Nothobranchius furzeri: one gene and its partner. The protein of the gene in region 2 interacts with the protein of the main gene of each other region in a pairwise test. Links are inferred from orthologs where the notes say so. Each region holds a gene or a part of one and is shown on either strand. Other genes may lie near its edges.

The links.
Region 1: the proteins of tfg (region 2) and protein boule-like interact in binary tests that used the Homo sapiens proteins (3 or more experiments, as listed by UniProt). The two-hybrid records come from large-scale screens. The link is inferred for Nothobranchius furzeri from reciprocal best matches to the Homo sapiens genes TFG and BOLL.

What each region holds. Positions count from the first base shown.
Region 1 is NC_091754.1:47,836,584-47,840,652, reverse strand, and holds the start of protein boule-like, read right to left. Parts: upstream 2,801-4,069; 5' UTR 2,499-2,800; coding exon 2,475-2,498; intron 2,162-2,474; exon of another isoform or gene 2,066-2,161; coding exon of another isoform or gene 2,060-2,065; intron 1,965-2,059; coding exon 1,818-1,964; intron 1,736-1,817; coding exon 1,644-1,735; intron 1,571-1,643; coding exon 1,516-1,570; intron 1,441-1,515; coding exon 1,365-1,440; intron 1,292-1,364; coding exon 1,134-1,291; intron 1,053-1,133; coding exon 984-1,052; intron 898-983; coding exon 745-897; intron 662-744; coding exon 590-661; intron 514-589; coding exon 475-513; 3' UTR 1-474. UniProt on the Homo sapiens protein: Probable RNA-binding protein, which may be required during spermatogenesis. May act by binding to the 3'-UTR of mRNAs and regulating their translation.
Region 2 is NC_091754.1:27,499,524-27,503,023, reverse strand, and holds part of tfg (protein TFG), read right to left. Parts: coding exon 3,408-3,500; intron 2,867-3,407; coding exon 2,699-2,866; intron 2,616-2,698; coding exon 2,469-2,615; intron 1-2,468. UniProt on the Homo sapiens protein: Plays a role in the normal dynamic function of the endoplasmic reticulum (ER) and its associated microtubules. Required for secretory cargo traffic from the endoplasmic reticulum to the Golgi apparatus.

The DNA.
Region 1 (4,069 bases), about 20 Mb from region 2:
GCCGTTTGTCCACAGAGGATTTAAAACAGTCGTGTTTGTGTTTCAGAGACGGATAAAAGACAAAATCTGAAACGTTTCTCTAGATTATCATCTTTAAAATCCCAGATTAACTGGGTGGGAAGCCCCGCAACCACCGAGCATAAAAGATGTGATTAAATCTGACAGGAAGCACTTCCTGCCTCAAACGATAACTTTAAAACCAACAGTCACCTGGAAATGATCTTGTTTCCTGCAGCCGAAGGCGCTGAGATTATTCTAATCTCTGTTAATCCGACTGATGTTTGAGGGGTTGTGAATTTAAGGCACCTGTAGCATCCTTTTGTTTGAGGCGCCCCCCCCCACATCAGGCTGTCAGCGGGTTTAGTGATGGAGGCGTGGAACAGGTGGACTGCTGAGGGTGACGCGTGCCTCTTCAGGAGCAGGGAGGAGTGAGACGTGGTGACATCAGGTGGCTGCGTGGACTCAGACGCTTCGTTAGTGCCGGGGGACGATGGCAGAAGGAAACACCTGTTGCTATGGAGACAAAAGGTAAACAAATGAGACGTGAGACCTTTCAGGTGCTGCTTACAGCTCAGGAATGTTCCTTTACCATTCCTGGATCGCCTCGCTGAACATCTGGCGTCCTTCTGGAGTAACCATGAGGCCCCGCTGTGTCCACCACCTAGAGACGAGAGAACAACAAAGTCCAGGTGAAACAAACCAGATGTTTATATCTGACCGCCATGTCTTTAGAAGACTCTGGACCTCTGCTGGAGCGTCCTCCCACACAGGCCCAAAGGGCAGGAAGAGGGGTCCATCAGCGGGCTGGTACAGATACTCGGACGGCTGAGGGTACATCACTGCGCCAGGGGGCACAGGCACCTCCACGGTATTCCACGGATACGGATTTGGGAAATTCTGCAGGGAAGCAGAAAGAAGGTTTTAGGTGCACGGGGACGCGGACGACTGCGAATCAGTGAAAGCAGCGCTGGTTGTGAACGGACCTGGAAGTGGTGGTACTGCTGCTGGTGAACGTGCTGATGGGACGGAGGCAGCATCAGGTTAGGAGCCGGCTACAAACCAAAGCAAATCTGTGTTTCCTTACGTGGTTAGCTGCTTCGGACGCATCCTAGTGAAGGTGGTTTCGTACTCACGGGCCAGAACTGCACATCTGGGCTCACGTTGGCACAGTGGAAGTACGCCATCCCATTGTTGTAGGTGTAGGGGAAACCTGTGGAGGTGGACATGACGAACGTCCCACAGGATACCTGAGGCACGGCGGGTCCAAGCGGGGTCATGTGGGTTCTCCTGGCTGCAGACAAAGCCAACAGTTACAGAGTCCGTCTGACCCAGCGGCTCGTTCGCTTCGGTTGTTCCAGACTCACGTCTTCCTGAGCCCTGCGGCCTTTTTATAGCACGGGCGATGCGGAGGATCCTGTCTCTGCAACGGATCCCACTCCTCTGTAAGAAACAAGTCCAGTAAGTTTGGATAAATCACCACAAACCCAATCGTCTGCAGCAGAGCCGACCACTCACAAGGCTCAGGACTCTCATGGCGTCTTCAGCTGTCTCAAACGTAACAAACCCGTACCTGTTCAGAGAGGAGAGCGCTCAGGAAACAAGCGGATGACTGGAATTCTGTCAGAAACACCACAAACACACACCCTTTTGATATTCCTGACCGATGTGACACGATCTTCACCTCCTTCACTTCCCCGTACTGCGAGAAGACCCGTCGCAGGTCGCTTTCATCAACCTTGAAGCACAAATATCTGCATTTTTTACGGCGTTACTGTTTAAAACCACTTGTTTCTGTATAGGAGACGGAAAAACCTCACCTCATCACCGATCCGGCCGACGAAAATCCCGTTAGGAATGATGGTGCCAGGGGTGTGGGTGAGACAGCTGGGGGCGTTGGCAGGGTCTGCTGGGAGTAAGACATCCGGGAGAAAGGAGGTGCCTCTGCTGAGGTGGGAGGACAGCGGCTGCAAAAAGAAGTAAGAGGGGTTTAAGCTGCAACGGTTTGGAAAAATCAGAAAGACGAAAGAAAACAATCATTATTAACTCTTCAAAAGACAACCAGCATAAAAGGGTCTTTTCAAGGTCACCGGCGGTCAGGAAGCGTAAACATCAGTCAGCTGCAGCTAACCGCCAACAAAACTCCTGTTTCATCTTAGTTCGTCAGTCTCTCTTAACACAAAACAACCGAGTTCATATTTTAGAGTAAAAAAAAAAAACGGAAACTGTTGGTAAAACGTGTCTGAACCTGAAATTGTAGCTTATTTGTTAGCATCTTAGCACCGCAAACGGGTCAAACTTTTACATTTTATGCTTTTTTACGATCGAAAAAACAAAATAGAAGTCTAAAAAAATAATGTATAATTAAACTTGAATTATAAAATTGTTATTGACGAGACGAAATCCAAACGTAACCATTTGTCAACTTGCTCGATAGTTTCTTTGCCTCCTGTTAGCAAATAAATGACGGGACTCACCGTGCCTTGGTCTTCCCTCTGCATTGTGGCGTTAATCTGAGTAGTTTATGACTGAAGATGAATAATCTCTGCAGACTGCAGGAACTGAGATGAAACAGGACCGAGCGCTTTAGCGGTTCTACTTCGACGGTTGCTTCCAAGGTTACGGCTCTTCCCCTGACGTCAGTTGGCAAAATAAAACGTTGGAAGTATTTTTTTTCCACTGAAGAAGTTAAATAATATAAAATCCCAATGCAAATGCGATATAACTATAAATGCAATATTTTTTATGTTTAAAAATGTATTGAAGTTAGTTTGGCGAACTAAGCTAAGCTAACTAAGCTAAACGCAAAAGCGGAAATGTACTGCACTTTCTGTCCGCTGGAGGGCGCCAAATATTTCCGTTCAGCAAATCGAGTTTATTTAAACATTTTTTAGAATATTTCCACACAAAATGACACAAAGTGATACTTGTTTTGAAGCATTTTTTTAAATAATTAGTCTAAAAGTTGTTTTTTTAATGTTTTAGTAGAAAACAGCCGAGTTTTCTGGGTAATAATTTACTTTGTGATTGATTTTTAACGTACAAAGCTTTATCTCCATGCAGTCTCAGTGGAACACGGTAAGATTAATTTAATAAAAATTAAATGAACTGCGCAATAAATATTTAGAAGTAAAAGGAAGAGCAAATGTTAAAACGTGGGCAAAAATGAACATTATTGCAGTATAATTTCCTGCCACACAGTGGCGACATTTCACTGCAAATATGATAGTTTCTGTTTCCATGAAGTTTGAAATGTTTGTGGCTGAAATGACGATTTGTACCATCTAATTTCACCAATTAATGTTTGGAGCCACAAAAGATATCCAAATATTCATATATACTGATAAATCACTAATTTATGTTGAACATTAAAACAGTTGTTCAGTGCAAAACTCAAGCATTTAATGCAGAGCATCCTGCTGAGAACGACCCACTTGACAACTTGCAGTGCTGCGAAAATGCATTTGTCTCCTTACAGCTTTATCTTGTTTTTGCTTTTCTGCCTCACTTTATTCACATGTCACAAAAGTTTTAACTTTGATGCAAACACCCACTTCGGAATAACAATTAACATGAGGTGTTAATGGTGATTTTAAAAGCTTGTGTCTGCTTTGGATGTTTGTCTGATGGAGCTATAATTTGTCAGTGATTGCTGTCATTTACACACCCCCACCTTTCCCTTCTCCTCCCTTAGGCCACAACAAAGCCGCTGCACAACAAACAGTTCACAGGTAAAATAAACTATTTTTGTTATATTTTCATAAACCTGCATGTTTGAGTTTCTTTTTAACAGAAAATGCAACATGCCATGAGTGTTTCCCACCATCACCGCCCTCATCTGAGTAATGTGGGCAGCTCCATTACTTGTCACTCATCTACAGCCTTTTCTAATTACCGGGTGAATGTGCCAACGAGGTCTGGCTGTGCAAAATGAGAAGGGCATGTTTGATAATTACAGCCATTTACAGCTAAACATCCTTTTGTGTTCCCTGGTGATCATTAAGTGCAGCTTTGAGACGAACTTTTACATGATCCGAGTAAGAGAGAAGAATATCCGATCAGATGTCCCCTT
Region 2 (3,500 bases):
GTGAAATCGGTTTTCTCTCTTGTTCTAATCATCTGCAGTCCATCATGAAGACTGTTATGTAGGAGGGATGGAAAGATGGCGGTTAGAAATCTTAGGGCCTGGATGGGAGTAGTCAAGGGTTCAGCATCAGGAAAAACCAGTGTATAAACACTATTTTCACTAGAAGTGAAAGAGAAGCAGTTCACTTTAATCCTCTGACATCTTTGCATGCCTCCACCAAAACAAGCATTTCCCACCAAACACAATTGCCCGTCTGAAAAAGAAGCCACATGCATTTTGTTTTCTTTCCTGCAGCGATGTGAATCATTGCTACGGCTCACTCATCCATCAGGTCTTATCTTTACCATCTGCTTATAAATCCTGTCTGCAGCGTTCTTCTGGTATTAAGAAACCTAAGCTTGTGTTGAAGGTATGCTTCCGACCACACTGAAAATGCCACACATCTTGAAATCTTAAAGGACTTGTATCATCATCACAAATTTACACCTTCCAGGGCAACAGTAGGCAGAATATATGATAAAATACTACCGCTGGCACCATTAAGATGTCTTTTTAATGAACTATAAGTTATTTTGAGAACCATTACTTCAACCAGAAAAGAAGATGCTTGGATTAGATCAAACCCTGCCTCTACTTGTGTGAGTTCCACAATAGTTTACAGCTGCAGACCTGGAGACGGCAGATTCACGCCGACCCCTCTGCTACTGGCTGTGGATTAACAAGCCGTCTGTGAAATCGTGGTCACACTCTGGCTCAGTTATTGAGAGCTCCTGAAACTAAAATCCAACCATTTCTGCAGGAAGACAGGAATCCTGTACCTCTTGGACAAAAATCCATTTTTGTAATATTTAAAATGCAGACTAAATAAAAAAGAAATCCCTTAATCACAACTGTGGAGTATAATCTCCCCATGAGCTACACAGAGACGCTGGGCGTTAGTGTTTACAGTCCAGGGGAGGAAGGATACAGAATCGAGACTATGTAAATGGGGAGAAGTGGAATTTAATAACAACATTGTTCCATCCAGGCTTTTGCAATAGCTTAGCAGAGTTTACCAGATCTGAAGGGAAGAAGCAGCTGAGATAGGAAAAAGCACGTGCTAAGCCAAAAAGCTGCTTTGTTTTTTTTTTAAAGTAAACAACAAGGTCAAAAGCTCTAGAAAAAGAATTTTGGATGACATAGGACCTTTATTAGAGCTGTCTAAACTGGCTTGGAGGACGTTACACTAACAGTGCATCTAAAACAGAAGGTTAAAGAGGAGACTGTGCAGAGCTGAGTTTGTCTTTAAGCACCAACCATCAGCAGCCTTGGAACCAAGAAGAGAAATATCATGGACCAGATGAGACAAACTTACCACATTGGGCTTGGAAATGTTTAACAACAAGATAAGTCCATATCTCCAACCACAGCTAATTTAAGAAGCGAAAGAATGAATCTTTGCTGGCCTCTTATGGCAAAGTAATTTACAGTCTAAACTTAGACGAGAGACTGAACAGAAACAAATAAACCGGCTGCTTTCCTGAGAGGTTACAGTTAGCTTTTATTTGAAATGACTAAACTAAGTTAGCTGGTTAAGTTCTGTGAATCAGACCATCAACCTTTAATGTGTCTTGTGTGACTCTGTTCAACAGAAGAAAAAACAACCCAGCATAAGCGTGTAACAACGCCAACAATAACAAACACGTTGGCCTTAGATGTTGCACCTGTCTTTTCTCCAAACATTAAAAAAATGAGCTTTAATTTTGAAAACAAACAAACAAAAACCCCAGAATGGAATCATGTGATTGGCATGCAGGACTATTTTCTTCTGTGGTGCACTTAAAAATGTTTTTCCAACAGGCAGCCAGTGTTTTGTTCATTTTTCATTATCAAGGCTTTAGCTTTGTCCAAACACCACGATAAGGTTGCCTGAGATTAATTTCCTGTCAAAGATTACACAGTTTAGATTAGCTGGGGTCATCACTCATTCAACTATTTCTTCAGACACAGAATTTCATCTAAAGTCCTCGAAAAGGAAACAAGCCCTCAGTGCATGTAGAAATGTGTAAAGAATGACCTGCGCCGAAACGTTTCAATTTCTCTCCATTTGGTTTGTTCAAATCCAAATATTGTTTTACTTCACAAATCAGCACCAAATAAAGTCAGTTAGGGAAATAAACTTGGGTCTAATAATTATGACAAATAGTAAATAACTGCATGAAACTTTAAAAATAGTCTCTAAAAAAGAACAATGTAAATATATTTTTTGCTTCTCCGAGAGGCTTTTTTGTTACTTTGTGCCTTATAACCTTTATTTACATATTTTTACTATACTTTTACTTTATTTTTTTATTGTGATAGTGTACAGCACCGTGGGCTACTACAAAGGTAGTGGAAGATGCTATAGAAATAAAATACTGATGAATATTACCAACTTATTTTCCCATCTTTCATAATTTGACCACAAATTTGAGTAAAATGCTTCTCACCATCCATTCCAGCTGGGGGTCCCTGCTGCACTCCAGCATAAGCAGCCTGTGGCTGAGGCGGCACTCCTGGCTGAGGTGCTGCAGATGAGGAGGAAGCGATGCTGTCAGGTGTTCCTGAGCGCTCGTCAGCTGCAACTGCTGGGACAGCTACTCAAAAAGCAGACACATCAGGAAAATCATGCTTTACATGAAAGGCTCCGACTTATCTGCATTTACACAATGTGGAATACCTGAAGCTTGGTCCTCACTTAGACCAAAAGAAGAAATTACATTCTTGTTGACCTCGTCCTGGTTCTTTAATGGGTCAAAGGCCGACATGCTGGCTGCGCTGACTGGAGGAGCCTGTTTAACTGTGGAGTCTGGAGCTGCAACTTTACCATCGCGTCCATCTACCGACTCTAAAAATGCATCAAGTTGAAGTAAACATTCACTTATAAAAGGGGGAAATACACGCTTGCATCAATCACTTTGCTTTGATTTTACTGTATTTTATTCAAGTATCTCAAGTATAAAGCTTTGAATATCAGTGCAATCTGAAAAGAGCTCCTTCCTGATGTCATGCACAGCTGTGGGCAGGTTAGACCGCAAGCAAACCAGACAGAACTGGCCTGTTGCAAAATCAGTGCTTTGATTCAGGCAAATATTCTATAAAAATGGTACTTAATTGTTCCATCAGTGACCAACAAATATAAACTGTCTCACTTGGCTGTCAAATATAAAAAAAACATGATTTAAGGAGGTCAAAATTTTCATTTTAGTAAGAATAAGAGCAAAACAGAAGCACAAAAGAATAATAATAAAACCACACCCTCTTGCTGGACACATGAATGCTTTTATTAAAACAACTGTACCCACAGGTGCAGATGGAATGACTGCAATTTTAGAAGAAATAAGGAATATCTTCATATGTTCAGATACCAAGCATGAACAGGTGCTTACCACTTTCTGGTGCCGTAGAAGTCATACCAGGCTCTAAGGGGGGCTCCAGGCTGTCAAGGAGGTTGTTAACTTTATTCCTGAGCTCTATAAGCT